Arabidopsis thaliana: one gene and its partners. The main gene of each other region encodes a partner of the protein of the gene in region 3 in a complex. Each region holds a gene or a part of one and is shown on either strand. Other genes may lie near its edges. The genes, in order: SAD1, LSM3A, LSM6B and EMB2816.

Evidence for each region.
Region 1: LSM6B (region 3) and SAD1 share a complex: the UniProt entries of both Arabidopsis thaliana proteins name them as parts of the heptameric LSM1-LSM7 complex.
Region 2: LSM6B (region 3) and LSM3A share a complex: the UniProt entries of both Arabidopsis thaliana proteins name them as parts of the heptameric LSM1-LSM7 complex.
Region 4: LSM6B (region 3) and EMB2816 share a complex: the UniProt entries of both Arabidopsis thaliana proteins name them as parts of the heptameric LSM1-LSM7 complex.

What each region holds. Positions count from the first base shown.
Region 1 is NC_003076.8:19,811,423-19,815,179, reverse strand, and holds SAD1 (Small nuclear ribonucleoprotein family protein), read right to left. Parts: upstream 1,835-3,757; 5' UTR 1,774-1,834; coding exon 1,740-1,773; intron 1,624-1,739; coding exon 1,500-1,623; intron 1,074-1,499; coding exon 1,001-1,073; intron 854-1,000; coding exon 818-853; 3' UTR 626-817; downstream 1-625. Other genes in the region: KAT5 (peroxisomal 3-keto-acyl-CoA thiolase 2), read left to right, coding at 1-70, 154-262, 345-428, 513-604; AT5G48860 (uncharacterized protein), read left to right, coding at 2,315-2,581, 3,269-3,529. UniProt on the Arabidopsis thaliana protein: Component of LSM protein complexes, which are involved in RNA processing. Component of the cytoplasmic LSM1-LSM7 complex which is involved in mRNA degradation by promoting decapping and leading to accurate 5'-3' mRNA decay.
Region 2 is NC_003070.9:7,419,054-7,423,200, forward strand, and holds LSM3A (Small nuclear ribonucleoprotein family protein), read right to left. Parts: upstream 1,905-4,147; 5' UTR 1,804-1,904; coding exon 1,687-1,803; intron 1,435-1,686; coding exon 1,339-1,434; intron 1,017-1,338; coding exon 936-1,016; 3' UTR 611-935; downstream 1-610. Other genes in the region: SEC5B (Exocyst complex component SEC5), read left to right, coding at 1-32, 143-358; AT1G21200 (sequence-specific DNA binding transcription factor), read left to right, coding at 2,430-3,761. UniProt on the Arabidopsis thaliana protein: Component of LSM protein complexes, which are involved in RNA processing. Component of the cytoplasmic LSM1-LSM7 complex which is involved in mRNA degradation by promoting decapping and leading to accurate 5'-3' mRNA decay.
Region 3 is NC_003071.7:18,147,128-18,152,104, forward strand, and holds LSM6B (Small nuclear ribonucleoprotein family protein), read left to right. Parts: upstream 1-2,069; 5' UTR 2,070-2,248; exon of another isoform or gene 2,249-2,447; intron 2,448-2,572; 5' UTR 2,573-2,597; coding exon 2,598-2,712; intron 2,713-3,496; coding exon 3,497-3,610; intron 3,611-3,705; coding exon 3,706-3,752; 3' UTR 3,753-4,168; downstream 4,169-4,977. Other genes in the region: AT2G43800 (Actin-binding FH2 (formin homology 2) family protein), read left to right, coding at 1-17, 102-289, 441-694, 776-1,594. UniProt on the Arabidopsis thaliana protein: Component of LSM protein complexes, which are involved in RNA processing. Component of the cytoplasmic LSM1-LSM7 complex which is involved in mRNA degradation by promoting decapping and leading to accurate 5'-3' mRNA decay.
Region 4 is NC_003071.7:1,177,926-1,182,336, reverse strand, and holds EMB2816 (Small nuclear ribonucleoprotein family protein), read right to left. Parts: upstream 2,367-4,411; 5' UTR 2,213-2,366; intron 2,121-2,212; exon of another isoform or gene 2,079-2,120; 5' UTR 2,032-2,078; coding exon 2,029-2,031; intron 1,944-2,028; coding exon 1,862-1,943; intron 1,760-1,861; coding exon 1,688-1,759; intron 1,371-1,687; coding exon 1,318-1,370; intron 1,171-1,317; coding exon 1,081-1,170; 3' UTR 825-1,080; downstream 1-824. Other genes in the region: REME1 (Pentatricopeptide repeat (PPR) superfamily protein), read right to left, coding at 1-777. UniProt on the Arabidopsis thaliana protein: Component of LSM protein complexes, which are involved in RNA processing. Component of the cytoplasmic LSM1-LSM7 complex which is involved in mRNA degradation by promoting decapping and leading to accurate 5'-3' mRNA decay.

The DNA of each region.
Region 1 (3,757 bases), on a different chromosome or scaffold from region 3:
TGCCATTCCCGCTGCAACTAAGCTCGCAGGGCTCAACGTCAGCGATATTGATCTATTCGAGATCAATGAGGTAACAAAATATTTCACATTGGTTTTTTTCCTGTTTCGGAATAATACATACATATAAATCTTTATTGTTGCATTGTTAAACAGGCATTTGCATCTCAGTATGTGTACTCTTGCAAGAAGTTAGAGCTGGATATGGAAAAGGTCAATGTTAATGGAGGAGCCATTGCTATTGGCCATCCCCTGGGTGCTACAGGTTACTACTTACCAAGCTTGTCGTAACTAAATAAAATGCAACATTTGTTACAGGCTAATAGAGTTCTTTTCTATATGTTCAGGAGCTCGATGTGTTGCGACATTGTTGCACGAGATGAAGCGGAGAGGAAAAGATTGCCGCTTTGGAGTAATCTCAATGTGCATAGGTATATATATAAGATTTTTTTTCAGATTGAATTGGATCAATGATTACCTATGTTAATGGTATATGTAAAATGCGAACGTCACAGGCACTGGAATGGGAGCTGCAGCTGTTTTTGAGAGGGGAGACTCTGTTGATAACTTGTCCAACGCTCGTGTGGCTAACGGGGATAGTCATTAGAACATCGAAGAGAGCTTGAATAAGTAGAAGTAATGATGCATTGAGTCTAATAAATATGATGCTTTAGCTCTTTCACATTGCTGAACAATGAAAACTTTTGTCATTCTGAGTTTAAAATCAACTACTTTTCTCTGAACAAAGTGTTAAATCTAAAACCAAAAGTTACATCCTTCCTCACACAAGTCTGAAAACACCAATCAAATCTCGCAAATCTCATTCTCCATCTTCGGGAGACCCACCTGGCACCAGCTGCATCACAAACATTTTCAACACCAGTTTCTTAGCAATTTGACTATTCAAATGACCAACTGTTTATATCAAGATACTTGAAAATTCATCACAAGGAAGTTTATACAACGTATGGCTATGAGTAACCACAAGTGTTTTTTTACTTACAATGGCGATGTTGTTGCCATTGAGTAGAATCTGATCAAGCTTTGTGACCCGTCTTCCTTCTGCCGTAATCTCACTACACAACGATGCTTAGATAAATTAGTAACACACTCTAGTTACAATTCAATCAAGAATTTGTTACAATCAAAACTTGAATCTATGAGATCCTAACTCCAAAGCAACACGGGTTTAAGCATCAATTAACTAATCCTCACACAACCACAAACAACTCAAGTCACCGAAACCACATATGACCCCGCTGAAATAGACTCTATGCATACACAATAAATGTCATTAATCAGCAAATGAATGAACTGTGATGGACATTCACAAATCAGTATTGAGATCAATTACCCAAAAACAAAATCCAAAAGGCTAAGTTCTGCATAATCACATCCATGGTTCAATGTCTATGATTCACCTCCTAAAGTGTAATAGATCAAGCAACATTCCAATTAAACAAGATATGAAGCAATAATCGAAACCCTAAAATCAGACTTACTATTCGGTGACATCTTCAAGAACCATGTTGACATAAACATCGAATCCTTTGAGAATACCAACGAGCTCCTTATCTCCTTTCATTATCACCCAAATCTTAGACCCTATACACCTATCGATTAGCTCTGCACAAACAAACCAAATCGCTCAAAAATTGAAAACCAAAAAATCGCAGATCTAGTTCGATTTTCTTACATATAAGAAGGTGGAAAGTGAGAGATGTGAAGAAAAAATTGCATACCTGAAGGAAGAAGCTGTGAAGGATTGTTCGCCATGACGAAGAACAGTGAGGCAAGTGAAGGGTTTTTGAATTTTCTCTGATTTTTCTTGCTCCGAAGCTTTTTCTGATTTTTCGATTTTTAGGGTATTAATGTTTTACTTTTAGGAAATTTACAAGAGAACCCTCAAACTATCTTTTTGTTTCAAGATTGACTTTTAACTATGGAAAACTTAATATATAAACCTTCAATCTAATTAGAATATTAAGGATAAATAATCACGTCTCAAATCCCTACATTACTAGTACGGAAGTACCTTTCAAATAGTAATATTGGCTTTTGTAAGATATTATGTTACAATGTCATTGGAAAAAACTGTAACCACCTAATTCACTTTACTTTAGTTATAAGGTCAATTTACTTTCGAATTTAATTATGCTAATCTTGAATCATGGATCCATTATACGGATCTATGAAATTTTCTTGTTTCTTCCAAACATAGGTCTACTGAGATTTTATTATTTCTTTGAACGATTGATCTGTAGTAGAGTTATCAAAATGGACGAGTGGCCCGTGTCCAACGCCTAATGGACCGGGCATGGACAAGCCCATTATGAAGCAGGCATTAATGGACATGGGCGTTAACGGACATGGGCATCAGCGGACTGGACGTGATGGACATGGGCGGCCCAATGGTCAAAAAATATTAGGTTTAAGTGTTCGGGCAAAAATAAATTTGGGGAAAAAACATTTCCCCGACGCTTATTTGGCGATTTCTTCTTTCCGGCGATTTCTCCGGCGAGTTCCTTCAACATCTCAACTCCATCACATCATGGATCCTCCTGAGATTCCTAATCCAGTTCAAGTAAGCAAATTCTCGTCATTTTTACTCAATTCGATCTGGGTTTTTGATTACTCAATTCGAAATGATTTTTTGTTACTGTTTTTTGCTTATTGAGAGTGATTTTGACATGGGTCTCTTTCGATTTCTGTTACTATTGTTTGATATAGTGTTCATTGTCTGCATTATGCATAGTATGAACTATGAAGCTTGGTCCTTTGACACCGTGTATTCATGAAACTGCAAATATCAAAAGCTTAGCTCACTAATATGAGTTACTTAAACAGAAAAAAGAATTGGTAGTAAGCACAAAATGGAATTCTACACATCTAATGCTCTCTAGAGCGATTATTTACAAAGAAACATTCAAGCATCTTGCTGAAGCAAATACTATTGTGTTAAAATTTGGTTTTGTTATGCCTATTGGACAACCCATTTGGACATGGACATTAATGGGCACGGGCGTTAATGGACATGTGCCTTAGTGGACATGAACACTATTTGTCCAATATCGAAATGGACATTATTGGACTGGGCTAATGGACATGGACAGCCCGCTGTGACAGCTCTAATCTGTAGCAATCCATGTGCAAAGCTACATCCAAGATTAGCAAAATTAATTGTTAAATACACATTACCAGAAGAATTGAAAAGAAAGTATATAGTTAAGATACCATTTGTATCATTAGATATTCAATCTCGTTGTTGTAGTCATATACTTGGAAGCTTAGAGGATCGAAAAACAAGGTGCAACACATGTTAATGAGGATAGGAACTTATCAAAGATCCTTGCAAGAAGGTATGGAAGTCGTGCTTTACATTATTTCTATAAAGAACAATGTCCATATCTTCTCAGCTACGAGGTATCCGAGAGTAAGGCGAATAAGAAAACATGTTTCAACCAAATCAAGAAACATTTTTCCAGTCAAATTCAAATCAAGAACTCTGTTTTCAGCCAAATCTAAATCATGATCATGTTTTTGTTTTGTGTAGAGAAGACGTTAGGCGTAAGAACACACAAAAACATTAGCATGAAATTATGTGATGTAGTCAGGACCGGCTCAAACATTTTGTAGATCCAGTGCTATTATGTAATCATATCATGTTTTTTTTTTTTTGGACCCTAGACCATATGTCCTAGCACCTTAAGCACATGTGCTAAGCCGGCACTAGATGTAGTTGTAATATTTTATATAAAAA
Region 2 (4,147 bases), on a different chromosome or scaffold from region 3:
AACAATCATCCGTATCCCCAGATGATCTCCTTGTAAGAACATTTTTCATTAACCACCACTTAATATTTACCATCTTCAATACTTAAAACCGCTAGCACATTCAGTTAAAAGCGGGTTTGCTTTGTTACTGTTGCTGCTTTAGGCTCTTGCACAGCAATGTACAAGCGGAATGCTTCAACTGGAGCTAGAGAAGACCCGTTTGAACAGTGCATGTTTCATTGAGACCATTCCGTTGGATCCAGTGCCACCAGTAGCCAAAGCTGCCTACTCCAGAACATCAACTGATTCTCCAAGCAGAAACTATAGAGAGTCACAACCAATGGGTTCTCCGGTTCAAGCCAGACCCAGACGAAGATAAGACTTCTCTTCTCCATTGTTACTATGCTCGAAGCGTGTTGGTGATCATGACAAGTTATATCTTACGATAGATACCTCAAAACTTTTAATTTCATCACTAATCTTTTTTTTACTGTAAATTTACATGCTTACAATTACATTAATCTTTTCTCATGAAATCAATCTTGTTTGCGTTTTCAGCCTCCTGTACTGTGAATCAATTTGATGGTTTGGTTAATCAAAATGTCTTTCCTAGGGTTACACACATCTAAATATGTCACCAATCACTATTCATAATAGAGCTCGAAATCAATGAGTTTGAGGAAGTATACAAATCTTTAGAGAAAACTACACCAAACCAGAAAACGAAACTAAATCCGATCGTAAACGGTAAGAAAGTCACAATACGAAGTATGTTACACTGATTCTACTATAACGAGGCACCCATTACCAAGATTCGAATGCTACATTCGGTTTCAATGTTTGACAACAAAGAAAAACATACCACACAATTACAAATTCAAAAGCCAAGTAATCAGAAAAAAGTGCTTTTACTCAGCGCCAGATTTGTTAACTCCGATCCCAGTACACAAGAACATTTAGGTCGTCCTCAAAGGCGGTGACACCAATATCACTCCATCTCCTCTCACGAATAGAAACGGTACCGTTCGCTTCGTTGTCTGACAGAAGCAAGTTACATCAGCAGGAGAAGAACATATGATTCTACACTAGTCTAATGAGAAGTTAGCACATCACATTTGGAGCGCAAACAACAAAATTCAAGTTTGAGAAACTAAACAGAGTTACTATATTGGTAATGAACACTCTCTATGTAACCAGCACTATTAACTTCTACATGAATCAAGCTCTCCTTTAAACTCAAACAGAGACATAGACAATAGATACTGTGATAGCTGAAATATTTTGAACCCAAAAACGTTTATCTTACTACTAAAGCCTACATAGATTAATAAATCTTATTGAGCTAAGAGAATTACATACCCGAACAATCTCTTCATATGTCTCGTCGTCGATTTCTATAGTCGTAATAACCTCTTCAACATCACCCAGAATCATATTCAAATGCTGATCAAAAGCCTACACCACAAAAACAACAACAAAAGTGAGAGTCTTAGAATTTAACAAGATTATGAGGTTTTCTACGCCAATTAGCTCTCGCTGAGGCTTTCGAAACTGAAACTCAACAAAATGGGTCCAAATTTTGATATTTGTGAAAAGAATAAAAACTAGTGTTAAATTCAACGAATAAGGAATTCAAAAAGGAGCTCAAAATCGAAAAAGATCACATCTGGTTACTGGTTTCTGGAATCCGAGTGGTTAAGAACGTACGTGAAGCTTGCCGCGGAGTTCACGGTCAGATCGGAGCTTGACATAGATCCTCTCTTCGATACTCAACCGAATCAGATCGAGTGGCTCTCTAACGGTGGCGTCTTCCTCGACTGACATTTTCTGATTATAACTTCTCCGAGGGTTTTGAAATTGTAGTGCTCTCGGCGATATCTCTCTGACTGAGCTCAAGCAATCGCCACCGTTGGTTCCCTAAAAACTTCAAACCAACATCTTACGATTCGGCCTTTTACTATGTTTTTGGGCTCTCATATCGGCCCAATATGGTTAGCTCTTTTTTTTTTTTTCGTCGAAGTATTATGAAGATAATAAATCATCTAATGCAAATAAATCATGGTTAGTGGAACTTAACTATATTAAGTCCAATCACAAGGTATCAATTGGTCATTTCATTACACTAAATTTACTATAATCTTTATATTGGTTGTTTTAATCAAAAAGCCTTTTGTCATATACAGAGAGAGAAGAGAAACCTGAGGAAGCTGACCGGAGAAGACGAAAGCAAACTTTTTTCTGTGAGTTTTACTTCCTTTGACTCATCTCTCATATATTTACCGCTTTATTTTCTTCATCCCGATTCCTCTCTGCTTCATTCTCTCCTAAAGTTTCGATCTTTAATATTCCCCTAAGATCCAGTACTAATTTTGTTGACAAAGGTTTTGACTTTTTGAGATCTGTTTTCTCTTCGATTTCTCTGATGAATTAGGAAGAAATTTGATCCAAAAATGGATGGGAATTTTCCACAAGGAGGTGTAGTTCGTAGTGGAGCTTCATCTTATGGAGGATTTGATTTACAAGGTTCTATGAGAGTTCATCACCAAGACTCCATGAATCAGCAGCATCGACACAATCCTAATTCTAGACCACTTCATGAAGGTCTTCCCTTTACTATGGTTACAGGTCAAACCTGTGATCATCATCAGAATCAGAACATGTCTATGTCTGAGCAACAGAAAGCTGAAAGAGAGAAGAATTCAGTGAGTGATGATGATGAACCAAGTTTCACAGAGGAAGGTGGTGATGGTGTTCATAATGAAGCTAATAGATCAACTAAAGGATCTCCATGGCAACGAGTGAAATGGACTGATAAGATGGTGAAGTTGTTGATTACTGCTGTTTCTTATATAGGAGATGATTCGAGTATAGATAGTAGTAGTAGAAGAAAGTTTGCTGTTTTGCAGAAGAAAGGGAAGTGGAAATCTGTTTCTAAAGTTATGGCTGAGAGAGGTTATCATGTTTCGCCGCAGCAATGTGAGGATAAGTTCAATGATTTGAATAAACGGTATAAGAAGCTTAATGATATGCTTGGTAGAGGAACATCTTGTCAAGTTGTTGAGAATCCTGCGCTTTTGGATTCGATTGGTTACTTGAATGATAAAGAGAAGGATGATGTTAGGAAGATTATGAGTTCTAAACATCTTTTTTATGAAGAGATGTGTTCGTATCATAATGGGAATAGGTTGCATTTGCCTCATGACCTTGCTTTGCAGCGTTCGTTACAGTTGGCGCTTAGAAGCAGAGATGATCATGATAATGATGATTCTAGGAAACATCAAATGGAGGATCTTGATGATGAGGATCATGATGGTGATGGTGATGAACATGATGAGTATGAGGAGCAACATTATGCGTATGGAGATTGTAGGGTAAATCATTATGGAGGTGGTGGTGGTCCTTTGAAGAAGATAAGACCAAGCCTTAGCCATGAAGATGGAGATCATCCGAGTCATGTGAATTCTCTGGAGTGTAATAAAGTCTCTTTACCTCAAATACCGTTTTCTCAAGCTGATGTGAATCAAGGTGGGGCGGAGAGTGGAAGAGCAGGTTCGGTGCAGAAGCAGTGGATGGAGTCGCGGACTCTCCAGCTAGAAGAGCAGAAGCTTCAGATCCAAGTTGAATTGCTGGAATTGGAGAAACAGAGATTCAGGTGGCAGAGGTTTAGCAAGAAAAGGGATCAAGAACTCGAGAGAATGAGAATGGAGAATGAAAGGATGAAACTTGAGAATGATCGGATGGGATTGGAGTTGAAACAAAGGGAATTGGGTGTTGAATTATAACGGAATTGGCTTCACTTCTCTTGATTGGTATATAGCTTTGCTAAATGAAGTCTCATTTTCTGCTTTTGTAAGCTTGCTTTGATTGGAATGATCTCGAGACTTTGATGTGAGAGATCTTTGTGGTTGCATCAGTGATGAAGTTTGTGAATGTAGTGAGAAAGGAGTGGTTAATATAAGCAGCTCTCTAAGGTTTGTTTTAACTCTACTTCTCAGTACTCAACTGGTTAAGGTTATTTTCATTGTTCTGCTGTATTGTTTTCGACATCTTAATCCAATGTGTAACAAATATCTCATTGTTAAGCCAGTTTGAGAATGAGTTGTTGCTAACTATTTGCTTCTAAGAAGATTGAATACTTTTCGACATGGAACCTTAATACATATTTTCT
Region 3 (4,977 bases):
AAATCAAACTCCTTTCAGTAAGACATAACGAATCTGAATTAAAGACTTGATCTATCCTTTTGCATACACGACTAAGATATGATTCTTTTGTGTTTTTGCAGAGTGAATGAAGAAATGATAGAGACATTGTTCAAGGTGAATGATCCAACTTCGAGAACAAGAGATGGCGTTGTTCAATCCGTGAGTCAGGAGAATCGGTTTCTTGATCCAAGAAAGTCACACAACATTGCTATTTTGTTGAGAGCTCTTAATGTAACTGCTGATGAAGTATGTGAAGCTCTTATAGAAGGTGAGTAATTTCCAATCTGTTGTTGCTTAGGTTACTCGCACTTACTGCAACATTGCATTGGTTTGATGATTCCTCAAATTGGTCTGTGATTATTGAAGCTTGACTTGTTTGACTTAGTTGATGTCTAATCACTTTCTTGTTCATGAATCAGGTAACTCGGATACGCTTGGACCCGAGCTTCTCGAATGCTTGCTTAAGATGGCTCCTACTAAAGAAGAAGAGGACAAGCTTAAGGAGCTTAAAGATGATGATGATGGATCTCCTTCCAAGATAGGACCTGCAGAGAAATTCCTCAAAGCATTGTTGAACATTCCTTTCGCCTTCAAGAGGATTGATGCAATGCTTTACATTGTCAAGTTCGAATCAGAAATCGAGTACCTTAACAGATCCTTCGACACTCTCGAGGTAAAACTCTACTTGTCCACCTCATAAGTGTATGTCTGCTGATCAAACAGATCATTCATATGCATTTGATCAAACTCTCAGGCTGCTACTGGTGAGTTAAAGAACACGCGGATGTTCTTGAAGCTTTTAGAAGCCGTGCTCAAGACTGGGAACCGGATGAATATAGGAACCAATAGAGGGGACGCACATGCTTTCAAGCTCGACACGCTCTTAAAACTGGTAGATATCAAAGGCGCGGATGGGAAAACCACCTTATTGCATTTTGTGGTTCAAGAGATCATAAAATTTGAAGGAGCTCGGGTTCCTTTTACTCCGAGTCAAAGCCATATAGGCGATAACATGGCCGAGCAATCCGCATTCCAAGATGACCTAGAGCTCAAGAAACTCGGGTTGCAAGTCGTTTCAGGTCTCAGCTCTCAGCTGATTAACGTCAAGAAAGCAGCGGCAATGGATTCAAATTCCCTCATCAACGAAACAGCGGAAATCGCCAGAGGAATAGCGAAAGTCAAGGAAGTAATCACGGAGCTAAAGCAAGAAACAGGTGTAGAGAGATTCTTGGAGTCAATGAACTCGTTCTTGAACAAAGGTGAGAAAGAGATCACAGAGTTACAATCTCATGGAGACAATGTCATGAAGATGGTTAAAGAAGTAACAGAGTATTTCCACGGGAACTCGGAAACTCATCCTTTTCGCATTTTCGCTGTGGTCAGAGACTTTCTGACGATTCTTGATCAAGTGTGTAAAGAAGTTGGACGCGTAAACGAGAGAACGGTGTATGGATCCATGCCACTACATTCGCCATCGAACCAGACCGCCACGCCTCTGTTTCCGGTGGTTATCAATAACAACTCACGGCTAAGTCCATCGGGTTCTCTAGACGACGACGATGGCTCGTTCTAAGTGAAAACTGTTGGCTCGGGTTTGGTTCGGTGTATGCTAATGTTTTGGTTTCATTTGCTACGTACTCAAGTAATATATGTGTTATACATATTTATATTTTTATTGATAGGCGAATTTAAATAGATTTTGGCAGATTGTTGCAAGTTGCTATCATCGGGCTCTGTACGTGTTCCAGTCCTCTGTTGAATTATTTATGTCACGTGTAGATGTATTTATTGATCTAAACCTAAAACGATAGAAGAACTAAAGTCTTGTGAAAAGTTAAATTATTGCAAGCTATACTATTTACAAAATGTAAAAAAAGAAACTGAAATTATTCTTTTGTTTGGTTCACATTAGGCATTTCCAAATTGCTGATGTCAAACATCTTTGCAAAGTTCTTCTCCCAACGAATTTTGAAAATTCACCATTTTCACGATTAAAATTTTAAAATTGACTAAAAAGTTTTAATCTCGCACATAATTAAACCACAATAAAAAAACTTGGACTTCGGATTGTTTTCCATGTGGGCTGATTCGAATTTGGGCTTGGGCCTTTTTAATTGTAATTTTATTTTTACTTATTTGTAAATGCGTCACATGTCTTCTTCGCTCTGTTCGGCTGCTTCATCGAGCGGAAGTCTCTAGCCAATTACCGTTTGTTCGTGGACTCGAGGTTCGTTGTTCTTAGATTTCCCAGACTCATCTGTTTCTGCAATCCATTTCAAAGTTTCTCTTTTTACTTAATCCAAGTCATTCGCGCATTTCCTAATTGGTCTGAGGTTTAGGGTTTTAGGGCACATAGTTTTGTTTGATTCGGGAGTAATCGTTGAGATGCTACGAGTTTGGTATTCAAGATGATTCCTTTTCTCAAGGTCTTTATGTAATTTGATTGATTTATGGATCTCGAATTGCTGACATGAATTTGTTGCTTAAAGTTGTTGGCTTTGTGGGATATTCTGAGGGGTCTTGTTTGATTTGGATCTAATTTGGTGGGCAGATATTGTGGTTTCTTAGCAAAGAAGATGAGTGGAGTTGGAGAGAAAGCTTCTGGAACAACTAAGACACCTGCTGATTTCTTGAAATCTATCCGTGGTAAACCAGTTGTTGTCAAGCTCAACTCTGGTGTTGATTATCGAGGTCTGTCTCTCTCTCTTTCTGCATTTTGTGTTCTCCTCTAAGATGTATCCAGTTCAAATTCTTTTTTTTTTTGCCTTGTGTGATGATATCTTATAGTTTGCTTCTGATTTTCGGTGGTTATTAAGCTATCGGAAGTCTATGTAAACTTCTTTATCACTTTGGGTTTAGATGTCTCAATGCCTTTCTTTCTCGCCATGTTACTGGAACCTTTGGATGTTGGTTTACAGAATGACTCTTTTCTTTGTCTAAGAACTGCTTGCTTGATTCTCATTTGATTTGAAAGTCCCATCTCTGAAGATTCATTTTTGTTGAGCTTGCTTGTTTTTTCCCTATCTTGTCTCTGTGTTTGAGAAGGAATAATACATTTCGGCTTGAGATATTTGCTTTGGATTTTGAGAAATATAATCTAGATGAGCAGGAAATTAACATACGGCTTTGAAACATATGCTTTTTGGAATTTGAGAGGAATATTAGATTCAGATGATAGCTTTGTGAATTGAGAGAGCTTCTCTCATGAGATAACAGACCCAAATGTGGTTGAATTTGAGATGCATTTACTCTTGCTTCTGATAGAATATGGACTCTCACCTTGCTATGGAGCCTTTATCACCTGAAATTAAGACCTTGGTCTCTTGAACTCTATAATATAACTTACAGGACTAGGAGAACTTCTAGCTTGAATATCTTTCTTTGGTTTATCTACAAAAGTCAGACTTATTCTTTCTTTGGCATATCATGTTGTATCAATCTACATATGACACTTTGTCTCTCTTCTTGTTTGCAGGCATTCTTACTTGTCTTGATGGATATATGAACATCGCAATGGAGCAAACCGAAGAGTATGTAAATGGCCAGCTGAAGAACACATATGGCGACGCTTTTGTCCGTGGCAACAATGGTAAAAACCAAATCACATTCATCATCACTCTTTAAATCGGTTTAGTATGTTTTTTTATATCCAATTCTGAAAAATATGCTCTATGTTGGCCACAGTTCTTTACATCAGCACAACAAAGGGGACATTGTCAGATGGAGCATAGCTCTCTTTCATCACCATGAATGTTCATCTTCTTCTCTACCTCTGGCATATGACAAATGTAGGATTTGTAGCAACCAGAGTTTATCACCACTGCATGAATTCGACATGTCTTTTTCTTCCGCAACTCAGTTTGTGTCTAAATCATCTCCAAAATTCTGAGATATAGCTAGATTTTTATTTGTTATGAAATTTTTTTTAATCACTGTTGGTCTTTGGAGCCTAATTATCGTGTTTTGATGACGCAATCACTGCGTCACAATCTGATGTCATCTTAACAATCATTAATGTATTTTTTTTTTCTTTTCTCGTAATATTCTTAATTATTCTTCGACAGCAAAGGTTTAAAAACTCCTTATTTCAATCATTAATGTATTTATGATTTGATCGAATAACAATAATATAGCTTATTTTGTTCTATTCTATCGTATTTGATTCTTCTTTCGTTTTTTTTTTGTTTGACTTAAGAAACCGATTGTTTATAGTAGTAAACATTTGTTTTTAATGTTGCTCGATTCCAGTGCACATGTCCAGGCTAGACACTTGTCGTTATAAAGGTTGCTTTGGTTCAATATTGATCCACTAGAGATGTTACAACTATTGTTGACATCTGAGATTGTGTGATAAGAAAATATGAAACTGGATTTAGTGAAAGTTACAATATATAATCATACATCATAGATAGGAAATAAGGAAATGTCAGATATACTTGAAGAATACATCAAATAGACAAGGTCCTTTTTCTTATTGTCGACTATTATAGAGCCGTACAGAACCTTTTCACGTCTTTAGTAATTAGTACATTCTCCATTTCGGCTCTCTCTTATTTTTTTTCCATCTCTTTTACTTCTCCAAATAATAACAATAAAAGCTTCGATTTTGTGTGTGTTTGTATTTACATCTTGACATCGATATTCTTTTCATCAATTTTTTACCAAAAATGTAATAAAAACAAAAAAAAACCAACGCTGAACACAGACATGGTTTCTCCATCCGTTTATATTCATCGTTTGTATGTTTACTTAACAACTTATTTCAAAATAGTACATATCATGGTTGTGTTTTTAAAAAAAGTATACAGAACAGAAAAGCACATGGTAGACAAAATAATGAAGCCAAAATTAATACAAAGAAGAAGTTCAACTTGTATTTATTAACACATTTTCTTTCCTTGTCAAAGACATGCAAATTGGTTTTGTTTTCTTATTCCCATTTTTTTTTTATAATAA
Region 4 (4,411 bases), about 17 Mb from region 3:
CTCCGCAATGAAACCAGCTCTCTTCATCCTCTTAAAAAGCTCCAAAGCTACATCGCTTCTACTATTCTGAGCAAACCCACCAATGATCGAGTTCCAAACAATCGCATCACCTGTAACCATTTCATCGAAAACCGAAAGAGCATCCTCCGGCTCACCCAGTTTAGCAAACACATCAATCAAAGCACTCCTAACAAAAACATCAGACTCCAACCCCTCCTTAATAATCCCACAATGAAGCATTCTAACATCAGACATACCATTGCAAGATCTCAAAACAGAAGAGTAAGTATACACATTAGGCCTCACATTATCTCTCAACATCAAAACCAAAAGCTCCAAAGCCTTTTGATGAATCTTACACTTAGAATAAGCAGAAATCATCGTAGTCCAAGAAATAACATTCCTTTGAGGCATTTGATCGAACAGTTGGTGAGCATCATTCAAAAGATTGAATTTTACATACATATTGATCAGAACATTAACCAGAAACATCATTGGTCGATGACCATTGAAGTATAAATGACGACAAATGAGATTCCCTTCATGAACAGCTCTATTAGATATACAACACTTGATAAGCTCAGAATAAGTTGCAGAGTCTGCCCAAAGACCATGACTTTGCAATGAATCCATTGCTTTCATAGCTCTGGGAAGGTCTCTCTGGTAACAGAGTCTGGTAAATTCGCTAAGAAGAAGAGTTTGATCTGTGGAGCTGTAAGAACAACGTAACGTGACGACTGGTCTAAAAAGTTTGATCTTTGACATTACTGACTTCATCGTCTCCACTAAAACTATGGAAACAACTTCAAAAATTTCAAATCACTCGCTTATAAATCCATGGTTCAGTAACGAGAAGACTCAGACATTCGATTTTTCCGGTTTACTTCAGTTCTGGTTAAGGAGATTTTGTGCTTTGGCACAACGAGATTTGAGAACGAAGTTAGGTAAGTGTCCATGATGTTCCAAATTGTTTAAATTGAACATATATGTTTCCAACATCACACCAGAGAGTTAGATGAAATACTCTCTAAATCGCCAAGTTAAACTAATAGAGAGACATATTCTTTGAGAAGAAAGTCTTTAGACAGCCTCTGCAGTAACGAACGGGTTAGCGATTTCTTCGGTGCCATCGGTTGGTGAGACAAGCATCACCGCTGTTCCACGGCAAACCTAAAAACAAGACAAACCATCATGATTTAGCATCTAAACTATGGAACTCCATTACAAATAACACGATGCTAGAAGAAACAATGATATTATTTGCACTAAACAGGATTACACTTATAGTAATGAAAAAAGAAGGTAAATGAATCATACAATCAAACCAAGGCGTCTTGTCTGATCCGTAGTCTTCAAAGGATCATCATGATCTGATCAAAACATAACACAAGGGTCATAAAACTGAGTTAGATCTATGGAAATATGATCCCACTTCTAGTTTCAAAATCTAGCTAAGAGAATGAAATCATCCCATTCATATCACCAACATAACATGATTAAGCAATCAAACAGTCTCTTCTAATCAAAATTTCCATATATCTTCCAATGGCATCATGGAGACATCTGTATGAACCAGAGTAATAAACTTCATAGCAATACAGAGATTCGTTTACTAAGAGGCGGATTCCACTAGAGAATTGTAGCCTAACAAGATCAATGCAGTAGATATAGGTAAGATAAAAGATACCTCGAACGAACTCGACTGCTTCATCAAGAACAAGATTAAGCAATTGGTCATAGCCTTTAAGAGTTCCAGTCACTGCAAGCAAAAAACATAGCAACTATCAAACAAATCTCAGAGAAAACATTAGAAAGAATCATCATCTTTGGAGCATAATGAGAGAAACACTTGTTTTATTACCTTGTCTACCACCAGTGAGCTTAACTTGCACACCCTTATCTACAAACTTGGCCAAATCTAAAACCGTTTCTTTTCTTCCAGACTGTGAATAACAAACACTCGCTTAAGAATTAACTCGACTCATATAACAATGATACTTTGCTACTTCAATTTAGGTTAAACTTTACCATGTTAGAGCAGAGTCTTCGACAATTCCCTAAACAAAAACCCTAAAGATCTGCAAAAAACGGAAATCAAATTGGTTCAGAATAGAGTTGATGATTAAAAATTAGGGTTTGCAATTCTTTGGCCCCAAGTGGATTCGGAAAATGTGTGAATTCGGAAATCAACAAGTGGATGAAGAAACCTCACCGGAAAAGCAAAGATCAAAGTGACGGCGTGGAGAGTTAACCCAGAAACTCAGGCGAAGCAATCGGAGAATCTCACAAGGAGTCGCGTGAAATCAGAGTCAGTCAAATAGTCGCAGCTTCCTAGTGACGCTTTTTGTTTTTTAACTCTGATCTCGTAAAGGACTCTGGTTTAAATCCCTAACCATGGTTACCATATTATTTGAACTGAACCGTAAATTGAACCATAAACCGATAACTAAACATTAAATTGTTAACTAAACCCGAAATAAAATTGGAAGGGGATATTAGTTAGGAATTAATAAAATCGTAATACAATTGTTCAGTTAGCTAAGAAGAATAAACATCATCTGAATAGAAATTACAATAAAGACAACTAAATTTAGCATTGTCATTATACTCCTTACTTTTAATCTAATAAAATAGATGTTTAAAAAACAAGATAACTGGTAAACACAAAGCAAATTTACCACAACGGCACAACCTATTAAAAACAATTACTAACAAATTTAACCAAAAATAAAATTAAAACGAAACATAAGTTTGATCCACCTCTAATTCTGAGCAACGCTTTTAAAATTTAACTATGAACTTGTGAAGTACTTGTAAGTCGTAAAGTAAATCATTTGGTAAAATCTCTTAACCATCTATCGACACAAAACTCCAAAAAAGAAATTTTTGATTCTTTTACGAAAAATGCACACACATTTATAAACTCGCAAATAGTAAATATCTCTGTTAAAAAGATTTGAATAACTTGACCTAGCAAAATTTCAGGTATTCAACGGCCGAATCGAAATTTAAATAACACCAAATCGAGTAAAATTAAGAGATATTAGAGCCGTAAAAAAAAGATGAATAAAGATTCAAACGTGTTGTTGACCTTAATTTAGACTAAAAAAAAAATCTAAACCGAAATCTCAATCATTAACGAAGAAAGAATCACTTTATTCATGAATCAAAACCAAAAGACTTATAATTACATGTGAATTCGAAAATTTCTTCTATGTCATCTTCAAATCTTCTACATTTGATCCTCATCACTTTATAAAGTTCTTTGCAGACCAGTTTGACTCTAAGACTCTTAATCTCTCCTCTATTGCTTGGATTGGTCATCGTAGCCTGAGTGAGACTTCATTTGTGCGTATTCCAACGAGACGATGTAACTTCCAAAGATTGTCATTGTCTTACTTAATCCAACGCTGATAAAGTAAATACAAAATAGATAACTAAAAATGAGTCAACTTTATTTTGTAAAAGCTCCACATACATCCGTTTGAACTCAGTCGGGTCAAATCGGCCTGAAAATGCTTTTCTACTAAAACCATTTATCTTCAGCATTGACGGATATCACATTTTATAAATAATATAATAGATTTTTTTCTCAAAATTAGTAACTAATATTATCATGAATAAGTTATCAATCAAAAGTTTTATCATATGTCATGATTTCAAAAGTTTTTAGTCAACGTTGATAGATCATCTTTATATATAAAGGGTTTTAGTCAATGTGATATATTTTTCATTCAAATAATTTTTAATCAATAATATTAGTGGTGAAAAACACAATAAACAGTAAAAATAAATATATTTTACTTTTGAAAGATAATTTCTACTTACAACGTCATTATTTATTATTTTTACTGAATTTAATTTTAGTTATAAAAAAATAAATTCGTCCATCGGACGGATCCTTATCTAGTTAGAATATATAGTCATGTATATATATGTAGATATCATAATATAGTTTGTATAATTGTATATTTTGGGTTTGTAGTATTTGTAACTTTAGTTTTTCTCCTTTGGATATATTGTGTTAAGTTATTAGTTTGGTCATTTTTCTTTCATGTTAGTGGCATCTTAAACTATCGGATTTTGGTTTTTAGAATTAATTTAATAGCATTTTCTTGATCAGTGATATCAACAATGTGTGTTTTGGAACTTATTTTAAAACTATATCAAATAATTTATATATAAAAAAAATAGATATATCAAAGTGGATATCCATAATCATCACAAAAAAAATTCGGGTATCCGAATATTTTGGATGAAAGCAAATCATAAAATCAATTATTCTGTTAAAACGAATCGAATAACAAATATCACTAATTTTCAGGATATTTTTTCGTGTCCAGCCGTAGTGAGGACTATTTTATAATCTCCCTCTTGTTTAATTAAATTTTGGTTTCACTTTTATTTTTTG